Danio rerio: one gene and its partners. The protein of the gene in region 3 interacts with the protein of the main gene of each other region in a pairwise test. Links are inferred from orthologs where the notes say so. Each region holds a gene or a part of one and is shown on either strand. Other genes may lie near its edges.

Region 1 (6,707 bases), on a different chromosome or scaffold from region 3:
TTATTATTATTATTATTATAAGTCTTGTTAAATACTTGGAAAACATTATAAATTCCAGTTACATTTATTAAAGTAGGAATAACAATGTTAGTTTGTTAGTTTTCCCATTTGCAAAATACAAAATGAATAAATTTTTGTGCATTTTTTTTTAACATCACTCCACGCTGCATCGCTGGTACTTAAACTGACAGACAACAATCCAAAAAGCAGTACACTGATAGTTTATTGCTGAAAAGCACAAGGCAAATACAATGACCATCAAGATATTACCTGTACAAAACTGTGTCGACTCTATCGAAACAGCAGCATAATAACCCTTAGATAAAAGATCTGTACAACGAATAAAAAAAATAAAAGAGCATTATTAAAATAGCATGGCCTTCATTTTGGTCTGTGTTTTTTTATTTAGCTAAGCATTTATAAAAAGCATATTAAAATTCACATTGAGCGTTAGTTCTTTTCTTTGTAATCATTAATACACCAATATACTATATATTTAGCCATTGCAAAATTATTGATTTTAATATGAATTGTAACATGAAAAAAGAAACCTGTAACTGATTAAAAGTCGCTCTTAAGACTTGCCATTCATTAATATTGAAACATCCATAGGAAGTTTACTTTTCACAAAAGATTTTTAGGTTTGGTTTTATGACAATGCCTAAGCAACAGAAAAAGGATTTTCCCCAAATCTTTCAAGAGCTTGTAATTTGTTTTTCGTACGATGAAAAAAACGGACTAAACTTTTCACAAACAAACAATATGCATAATAAAAATGTCAAATGTCTATTCTCTATACTATCCACACTAAATATAATTATGTTCCTAAGGCTCCCAAGAGCCTGTTTTCTGTGTAATGACACAACGAACTTTAACGAACTTTAAATTTTTAATGTATGTCACTGTGTTGTGCAAAAGAAAAGCATTTGTCAGGATGGTCATTATTAATGCATTACTGCAAATTTATTATTAACATTTTACTGCAGTTCACTTAATGACCACCGGTGTCACCTCAACATGCTCATTGGGAAAATGTGCCCAGGGCTAGATTTTTGAGAACTGAGAAATGGGTTAATATGAATACTTTTTGTGTTTAAAACGAACGCTAAGGGGAAAGCTAGATTCTCTCATGGATGTGGGCTAGAAGGAAGTGGAGGTTGCTAAAAATGTACACCATGGATTTACAAAAAATGCCGCATATGAGGCATGAGAATCGTGTCCCAGTAATGCAATTAAGATTGTCAAAAATGTATATGTCGACACCTAGCGGATTTGTAAAGGAAAAAAAAATGCTAGCACAAGTAGCCCAGGGTTCATATTACAGTTCAGTCGATGATCGCTGATAGACATCACGATGCTGAGCAAGCGTCACGATCCTCCGCCCTGCCACTTCGCAGCAGCAAGCCGCTCACAAAAAAATACACACTTAGGGCCTGTTTACAATAACACTAATACAGAGTCCCGCGGAAAAAGTGATTGACATTGACATTGTAACTTATTTTTATTTATTTATGATTTGGTTATGTATAAAACAAAGCCCATGCTGGTCAGGTAGTTGAAACAGGTGGCTACAAATAATTAATTTGTTATGAATTAATTAATTATTCATAAATAATTAATTCACCACCACCTATGACAACGATGAAATCGTCCATTGCAATGTTTTACATTAGACATCATACGATGCCAAAATGGTCAACATCGCCCAACCCTAGTACATATATCTCAGTTCTCGAAAATGTAGCCCTGGGCCAAAGAGGTTGAGTGTTTCTGAATTCTACATATAGCCCCAACTAAGAGCGTACAAAACTAATGTGCACACAAAGAAGTGGTGTAATAAATCACAAGCACTATGTTAAAATTCTAGCAAATCCAGATTTTTGCTAATTCGTCAAGTCAAAGCATAAAGATTGAGGAAAAGGGATAGCAGTAAACAGAGCGTATGCGAATTAAATTATGATTAAAGGGGACAGAGAGCTCTCTGATTAACCCACTGCTTGCGTAACCACTCAGGATTTGATCTGCTAAAACGATCCATCAGACTGCAGAGAACATTAGAAATGGGACATTGGGAGGATAAACATGATTCCAGGTAAATGAAAATCCCTGTGTGTATTATGCAGAAAGAACATTTACAAAATGTTCCCATAGTGAATTACTCCCACCAGAAGCAGCTGATCACAGAAATTCTGGATAAGGATGAAAAGTCGAGAAAAACGCACTTGATTGATTAAAATAGCTCCAGTAGACTTGATGAAATTCACACACTCAGAAAAGGAATATGTTCAACTTAAAGCCGTCTAAGGTTTCTTCAAATCAATAATACAACGCACATAAATAATGAGAAGAAATCAATGAATAAATAATTGCATTTTGGATTAAATGGAGGTTTTCCAGTAGCAGAGAGACTCATCAGTTACACTCTTCCAGCTTGAGGACTGATCGGTCAAAAACAACACTTAATTCCCTGCAGAATCTACAGTAACATACTGGCAGCAATTTACCAGTAACTTACTGTAAATCAAGTACAGCAAATAGACTGTATTTACATTTACAGCACCATTTATCTTGTATTTACAGATATGTATGTATAATAGTTTTGGGTCAATAGGCAATGCCATCGTCGATCGACAAAGGCCGAGAAACATCCTCTGCCCCGCCCCCGTCGCTAGAATTACACACTCAGGCCCCATTTAGACCAATACATCTTAGTATTAAAATGGCATTTTAGAACGAAAACGATCCACATCCACTGGCGTTTTATCTAGCACTTCTGAAAACATACTGCTGAACACACATGGCATGTGCTGCAGCATTTGCGCACGTCTGAGCTCTAGGCAGTCAGTGGGTGCTTTGAGCACAAAATCCCAGAGAGCAGTGCACTTTGGACAATTTATTAAAGATGTACCGCTGGATTGCATCTTATAGATGTTAAACTTGATATTTAATTAATCTTGTCTCTATCTAACGACTCCTCTGTCTTTTGAATCTATCAGGTAACACAGCGTCAGTACACTGCTTCAGTCTTTCGCTTTCACGCTTGTACTTTTAGTAAATTGTAATTCTAGCTTAAACCTCAGATACTGTTGGATGGTTCCTGTTGGTTGTGCACCTTTTTTTTTACCAACCAAGTTTTTCGACGCCATTATAATGACACAGATCACTCTGCCTATTCATGCCAGAATCCCGCAAAAAAAAATATTGACCGGTTGGTCATTTATGTGTAATTTATCTTTATTCATTTATGATTTGGTTATGTATAAAACAAAGACTATGCAGGTCAGGTAGTCGCAACGGGTGGCTACAAATTATTAATTTGTTATGAATAAATAAATGATTCACTGATGCCATCGTCCATCACGATGTTTCACATTAGACATCGTACGATGCCAAATCGGTCAACATCGCCCAACCCTAATGTAAATCTTTACTGTAGAATATACACTAATTTTCACAATGCAGCATTAAAATACAGTAACATACTGCATGAGTGTCCTACAGTAAAATACAGTTCACATTACAGCTAAATACTGTGTAATTTACAAAAATCGTTAACAGTGAACATTAAACTGGATGGCTGCAATGCAAACAGCCTTCAACTAACAACTTTCTTTACTTTAACCTCCATGTTCACGCTCACCTGTGCTATCTTCCTCCTCTCCAGCACATTATCCTGATGAACAGATCTTCTTTTACTCGCTCTGCTGCTGAATCCGTCAAGGCATCTATCAACGTCACTCTGCCCATGCACTCTTGAAGTCTCTAGTGGTCCAGAACTTCCAGGAATGTGGTGTTTGTTTCTCTTCTTGCGTCCGTGTTTGCCTACATCTGGTTTGTGCTTCTCTGGGCTTTCGATAGCTTTGGGTTCAACGGGATCCAGGACTCGGGGTCTCCTAAACAGGTTGTGAAGAGACAGCAGCACCAAGGTGCACAGAACATACATGCTGGCTTGACTACTGGAGACGTCTCCACACACACATTTAGACGGAGTATCCTTTAAAAGCGATTCTGGATGATCCCATTTCAGGGTGAGCGCAAGCACTGAACACTATCTTCTGGTTAAAGTTACAGTCGTAATATAAACTCTTCCGAATTGCGCAGCAATGAGCTTTATCGGTCGACGTGAAGGTGATCAGCCAGTTTAGAATCAAGTATTGTTGAGTTCTTGCATGTCTTCCCACCACTGTTTTCACTCAAACAACAACTCCTGGAAGGTAAGACCGTGTTATTCCAACACCTTCGAGCTCCAGAACTCTCACTTAGGCTTGATAATCTGTCTGTGATCTGATCAGCAAATGAGATGGCTTTCTCATCTCCCAATCTCGTTCAAGAGAGAATGAGGGAGGGACGACTACCGCACATCTGCTTTTAAACCCCACAAAGCCATTTTAACCTACCTGGACACGTCTATAAAGATATCGCCTGATAAACAATGTAAGCCAACAGCATGATAAATGCTTCTTTAATCAGGATACATAATATTTAGGTGCTTATCTTCCCCATCTGCACGCCTCTTCTTTGGAGATCTTCCAGAAGATTACAGGTGTATTCCAGTGAAATTCGATCGAAAGAGTAACCATGAAACTCTCAGTCGTAATCTCCATTGGCACTTTGACAAATCATCACCTCCACTTGCGTCAGTAATGGTTTTATTGTATTTTTACAGTCACTGGATTGCAGGACAAAACTCACAGGTCAGACCACTCCTTTCATAATGCCTTGTTTTGATAGTCTTTATCCCCGTTTTTAGGTCCAAATGACTGGGCAAACTCCAACCATTCATAACCCATCCAACTCCTGCGATGCTGGTGTAGTCCTATAACTCCGAGAGAGAAAATGCTTTTCACTCTTTCGCCCTCCCTTTTCTCATTGTGTCCATCTGTCACTGCAGTCGGACAGCTAAGCGTCTCTTAGCCGATGATGTAACAACAGTGTTTGCATCTATGCAAAATAAGGAAAATCAACTCAAAACATGTTTTAAATGCACTGCTGAGGATAAAGAAGCTGGTCTGTGATTGGTCGCCTCCGTGGTAAGATGACCCTGTTGAACTGCGTCCTACAAAGCCATCCATCATGCTCCTGCTGTGTGACAATGGATAGAACATAATATGGAAACAGACAACTATGGGAATGTGGCGCAGTGAGACCTGACAGTGCCAATCTAGAGTGATCAATTAGGATTCGGGGACATAGAAGATCGGCGCTGTCTTGTGCTGGTACTTCAGGGGGGAAAAATTGAATCATGTTTGAAGTGTGTGCGCAAGACAAACAAAAGGCCATCTTCTGGTTCATTACCCTTTTTAGGGGCCGTTCACATGCTTCAGACCAAGGGAAAACAACAAGAGTGCCTGTTCGAACCAAATTAACCAGTATAGAAGTAAGTGCTCAAACTAAAGTGGCAGGGCTGGGCAAATCTACAAACAGAAAACTACAAACAAACAACAATTTTTTTTATATACAGTTGAAATCAGAATTATTAGCCCCCCTGAATTATTAACCTCCCTGTTTTATTATTATTATTATTGATTATTATTATTTTTTATTTGTTTATTTTATTTTTTAAACATAATAGGTTTAAGAACTCATTTTTAATAACTGATTTATTTTATCCTTGTCATGAAGACAGTAAATAATATTTGACTAGATATTTTTAAAGACACTTCTAAACAGCTTAGTGACATTTAAAGGCTTAACTAGGTTAATTACAGTAGGTTAACTACGCAGGTTAGAGTAATTAGGAAAGTTATTGTATAACGATGGTTTGTTCTGTAGACTATCGGAAAAAATAGCTTAAAGGGGCTAATAATTTTGTCCTTAAATTGGTAGTTAAAAAATTAATAACTGCTTTTATTCTAGCCGAAAATAAGACTCTCAAAAAGACAAAATATTATCAGACATACTGTGAAAATGTCTTTGCTTTGTTAAACATCATTTTGGAAATATTTAAAAAAGAAAAAAAACATCAACAAGGGCTAATAATTCTGACTTCAACTGTATATAAGACAATACCAAAATGATGATACAAGTTGAATATTCTCTTCTTCAAAGGGGGCCTCTTACACTCATTTAAACAAGATGTAAAATAAGTCCCTATAGTGTTTGTGTGTGTGTGTGTGTGTGTGTGTGTGTGTGTGTGTGTGTGTGTGTGTGTGTGTGTTTGTGAAGTATCAGCTGAAAATACCACAAAAATAATTTTTTATAATGCTTTGAAACAGCAAGTTTAAGGCTGTGATCCAAATTGTGTCGTTTTGGTGACTGTCGCTTTAAATTCAAATGAGAATGGCGGACGGCTGCTTCTCACTCAAAGCTGTTTATGCTAATGAGGGAGAAATTTCTCTAATGGGCGGGGCTTTTCCAATCCAATGGCACGTACAAAGGCAGAATGTCAATCAAAGTGTTTCTGCAGACTGTTTATTAAGGTGTGATTATACAAAAATTTAATTAATAAATTTTCACCATTAGAGGCTGGTTATATTTATACAGTGCTGCCACACAACTGTGTTTAAACCCCTTATAATAGTGCTTTTTCCATTATAGGTCCCTTTTAATGTTTAAATGAAGATTCTCAGTCAGCAGCTCTTGAACAGGTAATTAATTGTGGTTTTAAAAGTTCATCAAAACTGGTTAAGCTGAAGTTAAAATGTGAAATTTAAACTTCCAGTAAAATACAGTATTTATTAGGCATGCATTAGGGAACAGTTTAAGAA
Region 2 (6,485 bases), on a different chromosome or scaffold from region 3:
TTGAAATATATTTCTTTGTTATTGAAAAAAGCCAGAGAGAGATGATGATGATGGTAAAAAGAGAGAATGGTAAAAAAATACATTTTGACTATTTAATTTTGTAATATCCAAATAAAACACAAAAGGCAGTGTTCGGCAACAGCCATATGGCCAATTAAAGTATTTAATTAATATTCGGCTAAATTTAAGCTTTCATCCTTACATGTACGCATATCCATCTATCCATCTCTCGCTTTCTCTCCTATTATTAAATAGGTCTTGTTTTAATTACATCACAATAATACGTGAAAATAATCACGTATTTATAAAGCTGCGCCTAGCTCGGAAACAATAATATGCTGCTCAGAAATGGCTTTATTTTGCACAGCATCAGGAGCATAGCAGCAAGAAGTTTGGCAGTGACGTTAATTTAATGTCAAATAATTATACTGCTGTTTTTATATAATTTATGCATATGCAATGAATGTATCAGGCATAGGCCTATGTTCTAGTATGTGGTTCAAATGATACGTAAATTTGGTGTATTATGTATATTAAACAGTTATTTTAAACGAAAAAAATAAAGATAATAGTTCTCTTTGGCTGTTGGATCCGACTCTTGCATCGTTCATTTATGGGACCTAATATCTGCTCTGTGGACTTTTGAAGTAATATAATGTTTAAGAAATAATATAGGCTATAGATAAATTAATGTAAACACAGTTTATTACAAAGTTTTTGTAGCATAATATACAACACCAGCCCAGACAATGCAAATAAATACATAAATAATAAATAATAAAAAAGTAAAAATCACAAAATACTGAAAACTGTTAAAACAGATATTTTGTACTCGACATTAATCCAGCGAAAGTCTCGAAAGGAAGGCTTATTATTATTATTATTATTATTATTATTATTATTATTATTATTATTATTATTATTACTATAGGCCTAGCTTGGAAACAATCGTGCAAACCAAGTGCTGCTCGCAAATCTTTTGCTCAGTATCAGGTGCATAGCAGCAAATTTGGCGGCGAACTATAACAGTAATGATAAATTGTAATGATAAATGTCTAATAATACTGCTAATATATTATATATTGAATATAATATATTAAATGCCTGTGTGCTGATCCGCAGAGGACGAAGACTACAGGACTGTTATTTTGAAGGCGACGTTAGGAGCCCAGATTTGATTGACCAATCAGAGGAAATGGGCGTTTTAGAACCGCCTACATGTGGATAATGAATTTTAAAGTCATTTATCCGTTTTCCTACCCTAAACCAAAAAAAGAAAATCGAGCCAAAATCATTTATTTAAATTTTTTTTAGCCAAATAAAAAAACGAAAAACGGCCGTTTCCTCGTTTTTTAAATTTCGTTTAAGATCAAAAATCGAATGAACGCAACGTACACGGACCCAATGCACTAGTGTTCTGATAAATGTACCAAAGCGAATGAGAAAAACTAATATGGAAAACCATTGCATGTTTTTATCAAAACTAATATTGCATATTTTTTCTAAAATGTGTGTGCGTGTAAAACAATAGAATTTGCACAAAGAAATGATGGGGGTCTTCTCTAAGGAAAGTAGCTCAGATCGCCCAATGCAGTCTACAACTGCGCTGTGTGTGATTTGTCTTCATAAGGCTGCAGTATTTTGATTACTATTAATTACTGTTTAATTGGTATTAAAGTCACCATGGCATTTAAATTTGCTCTTATTTTTAAAATCATTGCCATTATTTATTAAATCATGCACCGCACAACATTTGTTTCTCATTTCAGGACTGCTTCAGATGTGATGTGTTGCAGACAAACCTGATCCTAATAATCCAGGTGTTCAAAAGGGTTATGAACACCTTCATTAGATGGAGAAGCGGTGTTTAATCAGGGTCGGAGCATAACTGAGCAGAGCTGCGGCCCTCCAGGAATTAAGTTTGAGACAACCACTTTAGATTATTTTGAATGTAATATTAGTTTCTTACAGGACAAATAAAAAAGTTAACAAGCACTAAAAAGAAAAAAAGAAAAAACTCTGGTCCAACTAGATGAGCAACTTTATTCACTCAGTGTTGTTTGTAATTGTCAAAATAAAAATAAAAAATTCCTTAAAATGAAAACTTGCATTTACAATGTTCTGTTCTATATAGACAGCACTAAACACCTTTGTTTGATGAAATACAAAAAGAAAACCAAATGTACAAAATGTGCATGACAGCAATCCTCATGATGTCACCGTCCCCACACAAGTCCATCTGAGTGGGTGTGTGACAGATTCACACTTCATCTGCTAATTTATCCATGGCTGTCACTGCATGTCTGATGCGCCGCCGCCGACGCCTCACACCTTGTCCTCCTTCTCACGCTTGACCTTGAGGAACTCAGCCATGTTGGAGAAATATTTCTGATTGGCTTCAGCCACCTTCTTCTCTGCAGCCTGTGGGTTCACAATCTCCAGCCCCTGACAGAGAACAGATGCTTTACTAACAAATCAACCAAACCAACGCTGGCAGTCTGAGATTCAGCACGCCACAATGAACCAGAACGTGCACGAAAAGAGTCAAAAGCAGCTGGACTGCGAGACAGTGTACCTGTAGAGGAGTGAAGGCCACGCTGGAGCTGGTTCCAGACGATCGGTCTCTCACTGTAGACTTGCCTCCGTACGTCATGCTCTGCTTCTGCAGTGTCCTCTGCAACAACACAACTGATGTAAGACCACGTGTGTAGAAATAATGGATAAAAATAATGACAACAATCAAGCTGACACATTCAATTCTGTTAAAAAAGAGCAAGGCAGCAAATTGACTCAGAGGTGACAAGTGATTCAGGAGGATTTATCCCAGATTAATGTCCTTGAGAGGCTTGTTTAAAAAAGAAATCATTAAAATAATGATTGAATGGGCTCTATGCAGAGCTAGTGTTTTTCAGCCAATGATGAACTTCTGGTGAAAGCTTAATGTGACTTATCAATTTCATAATGTTCCTTTTACAGCATCAATGTTGTAATGGAATTACAATACATTCGGTTAAATAGACTTCAGCAAACAATTAATGAGTCTCATGGCTTTCAACATTGATATTATTAATACATGTTTTTTTTTAGCTCTAAATCAGCAAATTATATTGAATGATTTCTGAAAGATCATGTGACACTGAATGTAGTTGGGTAATGTTGAATGTAGTTGGGTAATGTCTGTTGAATTTTCAGCTTTGCCATCATAGACATATATTTTATTTTAAAATGTATGAGAACAAAATAGCTTTCAATACATTATTATAGTTGACTTTATTATAAATGGTAAATTTATTTCACATTTTTTTTCAATTAATTTTTTTTATAAAAGCAGCCTGACGAGCACAAGAGGCTTATAAATAAAATCAGTATTAATTAGTCATTTAATATAATTTTTATTTATAATATCTCTTTAATAAATTGATCACTTATCGGGAACTTTTCAATAACACAATACAGCTCAAATTAAGGACATGTGGTTATTTTACTGGCTTGTGTTTTGTTTTTGTTTTTAAATCCGTATAAATTCAATTATGTCAAACTTAAAAAGTCTTGAAAGATGACTTTATATAATTTAATAAAATAATAAATAATTATTACAAAGCATTTCCGGTTTTCCAGAGCATTTCGTATGTCTGCTTTCATTTTTAGCCCAGAATTTTCATTTTGGTACATCTCTAAAAAAAACGCACCAGATTCGAAAATATAAGCGAAAATATAAGCAAATTAGCCATCTGTGAAAATGCCCCAAGCAAAGAAAATTTGCTTTCAAAGCTTCATTTTCCCTTAGTATTTGCTGCAGATGTACCTGTAAAGATTTGGATATTCTGGCTTTGGTGGAGTCGTTGACCTGAGCTTGTCTGACTCTGCCACTGCCAGATTTTCCCAGCTGACCGAGACTGAAGCCCAGATCCTCCTGATAGGCATCGTCCTCAATCTACACAGAGAAAGAGAACGTTAATAACCCGCAGTAGCTGAATCAATCTATAGAATTTCAAAAGCAAGCACACTAATGGAGAGCTGCTGATGCAGTTCATCTGACCTCTGCAAAAGTCATTCTGTTGGCGTGTTTCCTGATCTCAGTCAGTCCCAGTCTTTCTTTCATCTTACGATACCTGAGAGAACCAGGAAAAATGCAAGTCAATCAAAATAATTCTTTAATATATGAAAGGTTTCTTTTTAAAGACAGATAACTCAATATTTTGTAATTGTAGATATCTTGTTTTTGTTGTATATTGAGGAGTACAACAATAAATAAAAAAAACATGATTTATTAGGAAAAACAATGGTCAAAAATCATGTTTAGTATTGATGCGTACAATATCGACTGAAGTCCTTAAAGGCCATGCGTCAATATAGTTTACTTGTTTTCTTATGATCACAACTTAATTTTCTTGTGATCTCAACATAACAAAGTTGATCTCTCATGTTTGAAAACCTATTTTTTCTGCTTATTCCAAGAGTATATATTTTTGTTACTTTTTCTCATTAATGCACTTGTCATCATCATTATTTTTTCTCTAAAACTTAGTCATTTAAAAGTGCAGTATGCAAGTTTGACACCCATTGGTTGAACTAGGTATTGCAATACAGGATCAAAACACATTTTCACTGGGCTCCTCCTCTGACAAGTCCATGCAAGCGCAGGTTGCCAGATTTATGCGAGTGTGCCTGACTATCAAGCCTAAAGGCTGATTTGAACAGCTTGTCAACTAAAAGCAATGGCACGTGATAGAAGAAATATTTGTTATACAAAAAAGGAGTTTTTGTCCTAACAAAACTGTAAATTTCTATTTTAGAAACAGTTAATCTTGTTGTTCACCTGTGAGAAATGGATCACCTCAGGTATAGCTCATGTGCTTTATTCAGTGTTAGATGCTAACAATGTGAGTTTGAATGCCATTTTACATGCCATGTATTGTCATACTACTAAAAGCAGCAGCAGATCATCTTTAAGTTAACCATTTGAAAATTAACTTTAGAACTGTGACTAAAGCCAACAAATATTAATTATTTAGCATATAATAATGTAAAAGAGGTTTAATAGGTAGGGCACGGGGTTACAATGTAATCTGCTCACCTAATGTTTACGCTCGTAATATTTATATGATTTGCTAATTAATAACCACCTCATGTGGAACTCTGAATCTGCGTCTCATTTTGGGGCTGCTACTGCGTGCTTTGAGAGCCTTCATGACTAAAAGAATCAAATAAGCTATTTTCCATGAAGGCAACCTAGACAGCTGAAATATAATTGGCTTAACTGGGTTAAATGACCAAAACAAAGACAGCGTTCTGGCACGTAACTCACATTTTCAAAGCAGAATAACTGACTTTAGCATTGCTTTTCAGATACACACGAATGTCCACTTAGCAAGTTTTTTTTTTAAATATCTGTAAACATATTATGGTATTATTATATCTATAGAATATTAGATTATATCTATATATAGCTATAGAATAGTCAAAAACTCACATCCAGCACAGATGCACCAAGACCTTAATTTTATATGCCATTCACAAGACCACAACATTCCCACCCTCACCTTCTTCCTCCTCTCTTCTTCCTCTGTCCATCCAGAGGAGCTGGAAGAGGCTTGACCTGCTTGACTGGTGGAGGCTCCTGCCATTTATCAAACTTCCTCTCAATCTCTTCCTTCAAATCATAGCCAACCTGCAGAGCAACCCACATACAAATGCTTACAGTCTAACTAGTTGATATACTCTAAAGTGAATGAACAGCACAGAGATGCAGATCATGATCTACTGTCACCTTGCCATCTGCGCTCTCATGAAAACTGTCCACGCGAGAAGCCAGAGTGCATTTAGCAGAAACCAGACGAGCTGCTTTCCTCCTTAGATCCTGCAAACACAGATTAACTCCACATTGTTACTAAGATTTACAAATGTTCTTATTTATATGCAATAGAAAAAGTTTATTTGTTTATAAAATATTTATATACAAATTATAAATAAGATTTTCTCCAGAAGAAAAGATTATAGGAAATACTGTAAAAATGTTCTTGTTCTGCTTAACATCATTTGAGAAATATTATAAATAAAATGTGCAAATTTCACAGGATGATTATTAATTTTGACTTCAAACTCTACATAATATGTATTTGCACATATTTTACAAACTTTTATTTTGTATGCAATTAATTGTTAAAGCACTAAATCTTTGTCTTTTCATGGCTACTGATGGCCAATTTCTATTATTTCTCAATGATTTTATGAAATGTACCTAATAGTAAGTAACTAATATCAATTTTTAAATTAATTTTAGCTGTTCATTTACACGACAACAACATCATTATTATTATTATAATCATCAGACATTTTTGCTGCATATACATGAAACTTCAAAATCAAAAGCTGCATTATCGTCATGCAAATGTAACCTTATGTCTTATTTTGCTCAACAATGTCATATCAGGTGGAACTAATTGTCAGTGAACTACTTTTAATGAAACCAAAGGTTGATGCTC
Region 3 (6,626 bases):
TTTCCACTTGGAAATCCACGTGTGGATGAGGCCCATTGTGGTAAAGTGCCAGAATTTGACTTGTTGTCTTTCTCAAATCCTCACAACTCTTAGTGCTTGCAGAGAAGGATACAGAGCAAAGTTAGACATTTCACAATAATTAAAGTAATGTAAAATTATATTTATATTACTTTGGTTATTCTTTATTTTAAAGTATCCTTGTTAGTGTGACTCATTTAACTACTAAGTAATATTAATTATTGCACGCATGTGCTTACTGTTAAAGGATTAGAATGTGGGTTAGGTTTAGGGTTAGTTGCATCTAATTATACATAATTAATTGTAATTGCTATAGTATGTACATGGAACATGTGAAATAAAGACACCTTAAAGTGTTACAAATATTTGCTATAGTTATAGGATTAACTTAGATTGCCCTAAAAACAACTGGTTTTGCATCACAATTATTATCAGGATAATACTGCAGTTGGAAGATAATAAGGTCATACAGAACTCCGAAAAAAATTAGGTGACAATTTTCATTTTTATTTTATTGGGTATGAGTTTGAGTATGTGTTAACTCTTTAAGTTAGTACTAATTAGTTGTTATTAATGATTAACTATTAAATTGCCAAATTATCCAAAAGCTGAATAAATAAACTTTCCATTGTTGTATAAATTGTTAGGGTAGAAAAATGTTTGACTTTTAGAAAAATCTAAATATTGACAAAAAAGTATTGTATTTAAAATGTAATACAAATATTTCACACTGTATTTTTTGTGCAACAAAAACATAATAATGAAATGCTGTAAATGACACTTTTAAATAAATAAATAATTATTTATTTTAAATTGGGGGCGGGGTTGCTATAACTTGTTTCCAGAACAATTATCAAATAATATATGTATGTATACTTTTATATACACTGTTAATCTTAAAACCAATAAAACTCAAATGTGAAAAACTGATACAGTGCTCAGCATACAGTTGAAGTCAGAATTATCAGACCCCCTGAATTATTAGCTGCCCTGTTCATTTTCCCCCAATTTCTGTTTAAAGGAGAGCAGATTTATTCCACATTTTTATACATAATAGTTTTAATAACTCATTTCTAATAACCGATTTATTTTATCTTTGCCATGATGACAGTACATAATATTTGACTAGATGTTTTTCAAGACACTTCTATACAGCTTAAAGCGACATTTCAATGCTTAACTAGGGTAACTAGGCAAGTTATTGTACAACGATGGCTTGTTTTGTAGACTATTGAAAAAAATTGCTTAAAGGGGCTAATTAGTTTTAATTCTGTAGGTTGTATTTTTTTCAATATTTTGCTTGAATTTAATAGTATTATCTTTCAATTTCTAAATATGTTTGATGGCTGAAATATTATTTTAATAAATATATCTGTTTTGTTTAAATGCACCAAAATACATATTCAATGAGAAATGGATAAAAATATTAATTATCAAATTGGGGTGTACTCAATTGTGCTGAGCAGGATGCATACGTTTACATGAATTTCTGTTTGGTACTTTTATAAATTGAGGTGAAATGTATGCTATAGTTATAGTAAGGACATCCAAATGTTATCCATAAGATCAATTCAAATTCTGGGAATAGGAGCTGTTAACTTTACACAATCTGTTTCCTTTTCGGCATATTAACATCTAAATCTATATGTAATGACAATATTGTTCCATCCTTAAATGAACAAAAGCAAGCAGCCGACTGTTTCCATGGTTACCTCATATGAACCTTTTCCCTGTTCAGGTAAAAAGCGCTTTGTCTAACTTGTCTAAATTTATTGTGCTTGAAGAACAGATTTGAAAGCAAATTAAATTTTAAGATATCCAATATAGGATTTCATCACACCCTTTATATAACTTAAGCTTGATGTTTTGAAGAAGGGGACACGCGTCGTCCAGACCACACAACTTTTACGCCAAATGTATTTATTCGATATTTGTTTACATAACTAGGTCGATTCCATGTGCAGTCAGCTCAAACTAGTTTCATTGTCAGATGGTTCCATTGCTCAATCCATTATCCTACTGTACGTGCCTTTTGCCAACAACTGAACCAACAGACCTAAACTAAAGGACGTGTCCGGCCGAATGGATGCCGGTAACCGATCTCATCAGCCCGTGAGGGAGGGATGAGATATTCCCGTGGGATGATCACGTGTCCGTGGGGAGTAGTTGTGTGTGTGGAGCCCTTGGAATCGGAGGTGTAGCGTCAAGCGCGTCGTCCAGACTTCATTGTTACTGTAAGGAAGCTGTCAACTGTATTTGCGCGTGTTTATTGCTTTGCTGAAAGCGAAAGAAAATGCACGTGAAGAGAGGGGATCTGACGACCGATTTACATAAACTTCTGCGCGCATCTCAGTCGCAACAAACGCACTCAGCGTGATCGGTGAAAAATCAACACTGCTGTTTACTGTTCTTGCTACGCGAAATACAGATCACTGTCACTGCACATCAAGGTAAGTACAGGCATTTCTACAGTTTTAGAAGTTTTAGGACGCAATTAAAACGCAACAGAATGTTTGGTATATGCTATAATGTGTCTTAAAACAGAAAGATAAACAACTCGTGAAACATTTTAGATTATATCGAAGTTAAATAAAGTTCTCTTTCAGTCTTAATTTTTCACACATTGTTTGTAGCGTATTTGTGCGTGTTGTTTTCTATAGCCACACTGTACTAAATGAAAATACAGCAGGTAGCATACATGTGACTTCATCGGTGATGAAAGCTTCTGGATAATGTGCAAGAACACCATGATCCCATTTTTGCCTCTGTCTAGCTTTTTTGGGTTTCTTTCCAGAGATTCTGGTTGTCCATTTTTGCATTAACCCCATGAATTCCAAGGTTTAAGTTGTTAGAGTGGTTCAAGATACTTAAAAACCCTGAAGTTAACCATGCATTATAGGCTAGTAAAACTGTAGGTCATATTAATTAGCTTTTGTATGACCTAGATTTTACTAAAATAGTATGGTTAAAACATTGGTTTATCAAAAGCATGGTGAATTTGAGACCAAAACATAATAAATTTTTCATCAGGGAAAGCTTTTCACATTCACCTTTATGGTTTGTTATTTCATGCCACCATATAACTGTAAATAATTATTATAAAACATATTTTGGCTGCACTACAAACTGAAATGTATTTCATGACATCAGATACTATTTTAAGTTTTGTAAATCACTACGTCACTATTGATTACATTAAAATAAGACAAAAACTAAAGCAATTGTCCACATTGCTGCTGTATTTAAATTGTGTCCTCATTTATTCACCCTCATTCCAGAATTTTTTTCTAGAAGAAGAAGCTCTTTTTCCTGTGGAACTAAGGAAACTGTGGAACTAACTAACTTATATTTATATATATATATATATATATATATATATATATATATATATATATATATATATATATATATATATATATATATATTCATATATATGAAGGCTGCTTTTTATTGTAATATTTATGGATAACTGAAGCTATCACCTTCAAATGACAAAGAAAATATAAAAGTGGCCATTACAACACCAAACAGGAGAAAATTTAAGTTATGATTTACTCAAAAACCAATATAATGAAACCAATTGCTCTTTACAATTGCCCACACTATTCGCAGTATTACTCTTTCTATACAGTACTGTCCTTTGGATGAGTGAATGAAAACAAGTAAACAAATGTGTACACTAAAGATGAGGTGAGATGTGGGATTCATCACAGCATGCAAAATGGCTTGCCATTCATATGTACTTTAGCTGAACACTCATTGTGAGATGCATTGTGGGATTGAATTAGTTCACTACAAAGAACTGTTCTTTCAGACAGTATAGTGGACAAAATCATTCAGTTAAAAACAAAAACCAGTATACAGGTTGATTTATGTGCTTCTAGAACTGGTTGTAAATGCCTGACCAAACAAAATTGTAATATGCAAGACCACTGAAAATTCATGTTGAATATAAACCATACAGTAGCTTGCTAATCAACAATATGCTAAGCTACTTTACTTTTTAGTTTGAAAATGGCTAATTTCTTTTTTGTATTCTACAGTGAATGTAAATAATGACAGAATTTACTACTATTCCTTTATACCCGCATCTTCTGCTGCTAGTATGTTTGTCCACATCTTAAACAGAATTGACATCCTCTGTTCCCACCGCTGAAATATCAGAACTGTGTGGAGGTGTACCTGCCCTTAGCGATGAGGAAGCACATTTGCACGCCTCCGTCTTGAAAATGTTTTTCATTCAGAGCAGTTCACTGGGCTATTTGTTTGTAGCCAGTTGATTTCCATATTACATCTGAATATATAACAAAGGTTACAATGCATTGTTGTGAACTGCAAGGGTTATTTTGATGGCATTTTCTTCATAAAAGTACCCTCATCCCCATAGTAACGCTGAGCTATACTGTACTGTATATCCACAGGAGACCGATATACCTGTGCCACTTGCTGTGCTGTCAGCATTGATATGACATTCATGTGGTTAGATGTATTTCAGGCATAACGGTTTACAGTGCAGCTTTTCACTTGGAAAGAGTCCCAGAAGCTTTATTTAAGTTATGTGCTAGTAATAATAAGACTTGCTTATATGATATGTTTGTTATTGAGGAAGTGACTCTTTTAGAACGAGTGGTATCGTGTTGGCATTTGCCTTAAGATGCTGTTAAAAGGTGCCCAGAACTGTGGTTGAAAGGGGCTACTTTAGTGTTGTTTCAGCCTTTCTTCTGTTTATGCTGAGTAGTCTCAACTTCCTGCCAGTATTGTAGGGCATTCTTAAACTGGCAACAAACATCCAATTTAGACCACCCGAGTCTTATGTGACAAATCTGTGGCCATATGAAGGCTTCGCTGCAGTGGATCGTCTTAAGTAATTATGTGGAAAAAAAATGAAATAAATAAAAATCAAAGAGCCTCCATTCCTTCTCCACCATTGGCGCTTTTGCATCTCCAAAGAGAAGAAAAGTTTCTCGATATTAAAAAGCACAGAAGGTAATTTTCCATGGCTGACCTGCTGTGCCAAATGTATTTCTTGAGGCTATGTACTATTCTTATCTCGGGCAAGTCAGCTTGAGAAAGGTTGCTAAAAAGCTGGAGGATATATCTACTGAAAAAATATTGAGATGTGTTAAGATATGTTCCATGATGCTGGTGGAGATCAGGAAGGGGGTCCATTAATGTTGTTAGCTTCTCGTCAGGGGTCTAATATTCAATTAGAGAGACTCGCACTCTTGCCAGAACTTATGTAAATGAGGCCTCAAGGTTGGTAAAAATGTCTTTTAATAAGCATTTCTGTAGTTTACTTTGTCAATGAGCCGAAATCACTTGACAAAGGCTTGCTGTGATGATGGTTGTAGTAATGTTGTTATTATTTCCGTCGGCGGCTTGTGGCCTTATCTTTCCTTTTTAAAACTTGTTAGCATATCCAGTATGTGATCTCACACTGATTTACTGCTCATATTGTGGTTTTTGGTTATACTTAGTGTGGTGATTTAAACTCTCCTACTGTTTTCACTCTGTATATTGAGCTCTCATTGAATGATGGCTCAATGGGGCTGGCGGCATAGCAGGCCATCTCATAATGCACATAGTTTTCTTTTTTCTTTTTCACAGAGAGACTTCAAATAATACAGCTCTGTTGAAATGGCTATGACTAATTTTGTTTTGAGCCAGAGTCAAGATGAGGTGAAGTTGGGCTTTTTTTTTTCCAGAGCGGTTCATCAAATGCCCAGGGCTGGCAAAGCTTCAAATTGGGTTTTGGAAATAAACCTTTCATACCAAATAAACTCAGGCTGACTTGACTTTCATTCCAGTTTATAGTGGATTCAAATCATGATATCTGTTCTTAAGTGTCATTAAATATAGTTTTCAGAATTTTAATTAAAGCTTCACCCATGCTTTCAGTTTCAGTTTGAAACAGATACATTATAGCCTGAATCCACTGGATAAACTGAAGAAGAAAAATCCCCCAATTCTGTAATCTTTATTTAAAGAAATTACATTTGCAGTCTTGGATAATAGAGAAGATTACCAACAACATTTTCTTCTTATTAATTAAATTAAATATTCATTTAGAATTTCATTACTTGGTGTTGGGTTGTTGCTGGAAGGGATCTGCTGCTTAAAACATATGCCGGATAAATTAGCGGTTCATTCCGCTAGGGTGAACCATTATTATTAAAGGGACTAAACCGAAAGAGAAATGAATGGATGAATATGAATTTTAGCTTTTGAAATTTATAATGAACTCTACACTCTGAAAGTTCTTTATTGGCATTGATGGTTACAGCATAGCCTGAATCCACTGGATAAATTAAAGAAAAAAAAAAAACCCTACTCTATAATGATTATTAAAATAAATTGCATTTAAAGTTTAGGATAACACTGAAAGTTGCAAAGAACATTGGTATTTTTATTATTATTAATTTAAAGATTAGATAAGAATTTTACTTGGACAGCTTTAAAGTTTATGATGGACTCTTACACTCTTAAAACTAAAGGTTCTTTATTGGCATTGATGATAACCTTTATCATTGAAGAGCCTCTATCATCGGTTTTTGAAAATGAGCTTCCATGCAGTATGTAACACAGCTCTAAGTGAATGAAAACATCCA

Evidence for each region.
Region 1: the proteins of mid2 (region 3) and kifc3 interact in binary tests that used the Homo sapiens proteins (3 or more experiments, as listed by UniProt). The two-hybrid records come from large-scale screens. The link is inferred for Danio rerio from reciprocal best matches to the Homo sapiens genes MID2 and KIFC3.
Region 2: the proteins of mid2 (region 3) and prpf31 interact in binary tests that used the Homo sapiens proteins (3 or more experiments, as listed by UniProt). The two-hybrid records come from large-scale screens. The link is inferred for Danio rerio from reciprocal best matches to the Homo sapiens genes MID2 and PRPF31.

Annotation. Positions count from the first base shown.
Region 1 is NC_133193.1:48,507,265-48,513,971, reverse strand, and holds the start of kifc3 (kinesin-like protein KIFC3), read right to left. Parts: upstream 4,819-6,707; 5' UTR 3,944-4,818; coding exon 3,641-3,943; intron 1-3,640. UniProt on the Homo sapiens protein: Minus-end microtubule-dependent motor protein. Involved in apically targeted transport. Required for zonula adherens maintenance.
Region 2 is NC_133191.1:35,280,055-35,286,539, reverse strand, and holds the end of prpf31 (U4/U6 small nuclear ribonucleoprotein Prp31), read right to left. Parts: intron 5,861-6,485; coding exon 5,771-5,860; intron 5,672-5,770; coding exon 5,544-5,671; intron 4,113-5,543; coding exon 4,040-4,112; intron 3,935-4,039; coding exon 3,806-3,934; intron 2,675-3,805; coding exon 2,576-2,674; intron 2,446-2,575; coding exon 2,326-2,445; 3' UTR 2,272-2,325; exon of another isoform or gene 2,240-2,271; 3' UTR 2,024-2,239; downstream 1-2,023. UniProt on the Homo sapiens protein: Involved in pre-mRNA splicing as component of the spliceosome. Required for the assembly of the U4/U5/U6 tri-snRNP complex, one of the building blocks of the spliceosome.
Region 3 is NC_133189.1:32,433,925-32,440,550, forward strand, and holds the start of mid2 (probable E3 ubiquitin-protein ligase MID2), read left to right. Parts: upstream 1-2,182; 5' UTR 2,183-2,468; intron 2,469-6,626. UniProt on the Homo sapiens protein: E3 ubiquitin ligase that plays a role in microtubule stabilization. Mediates the 'Lys-48'-linked polyubiquitination of LRRK2 to drive its localization to microtubules and its proteasomal degradation in neurons.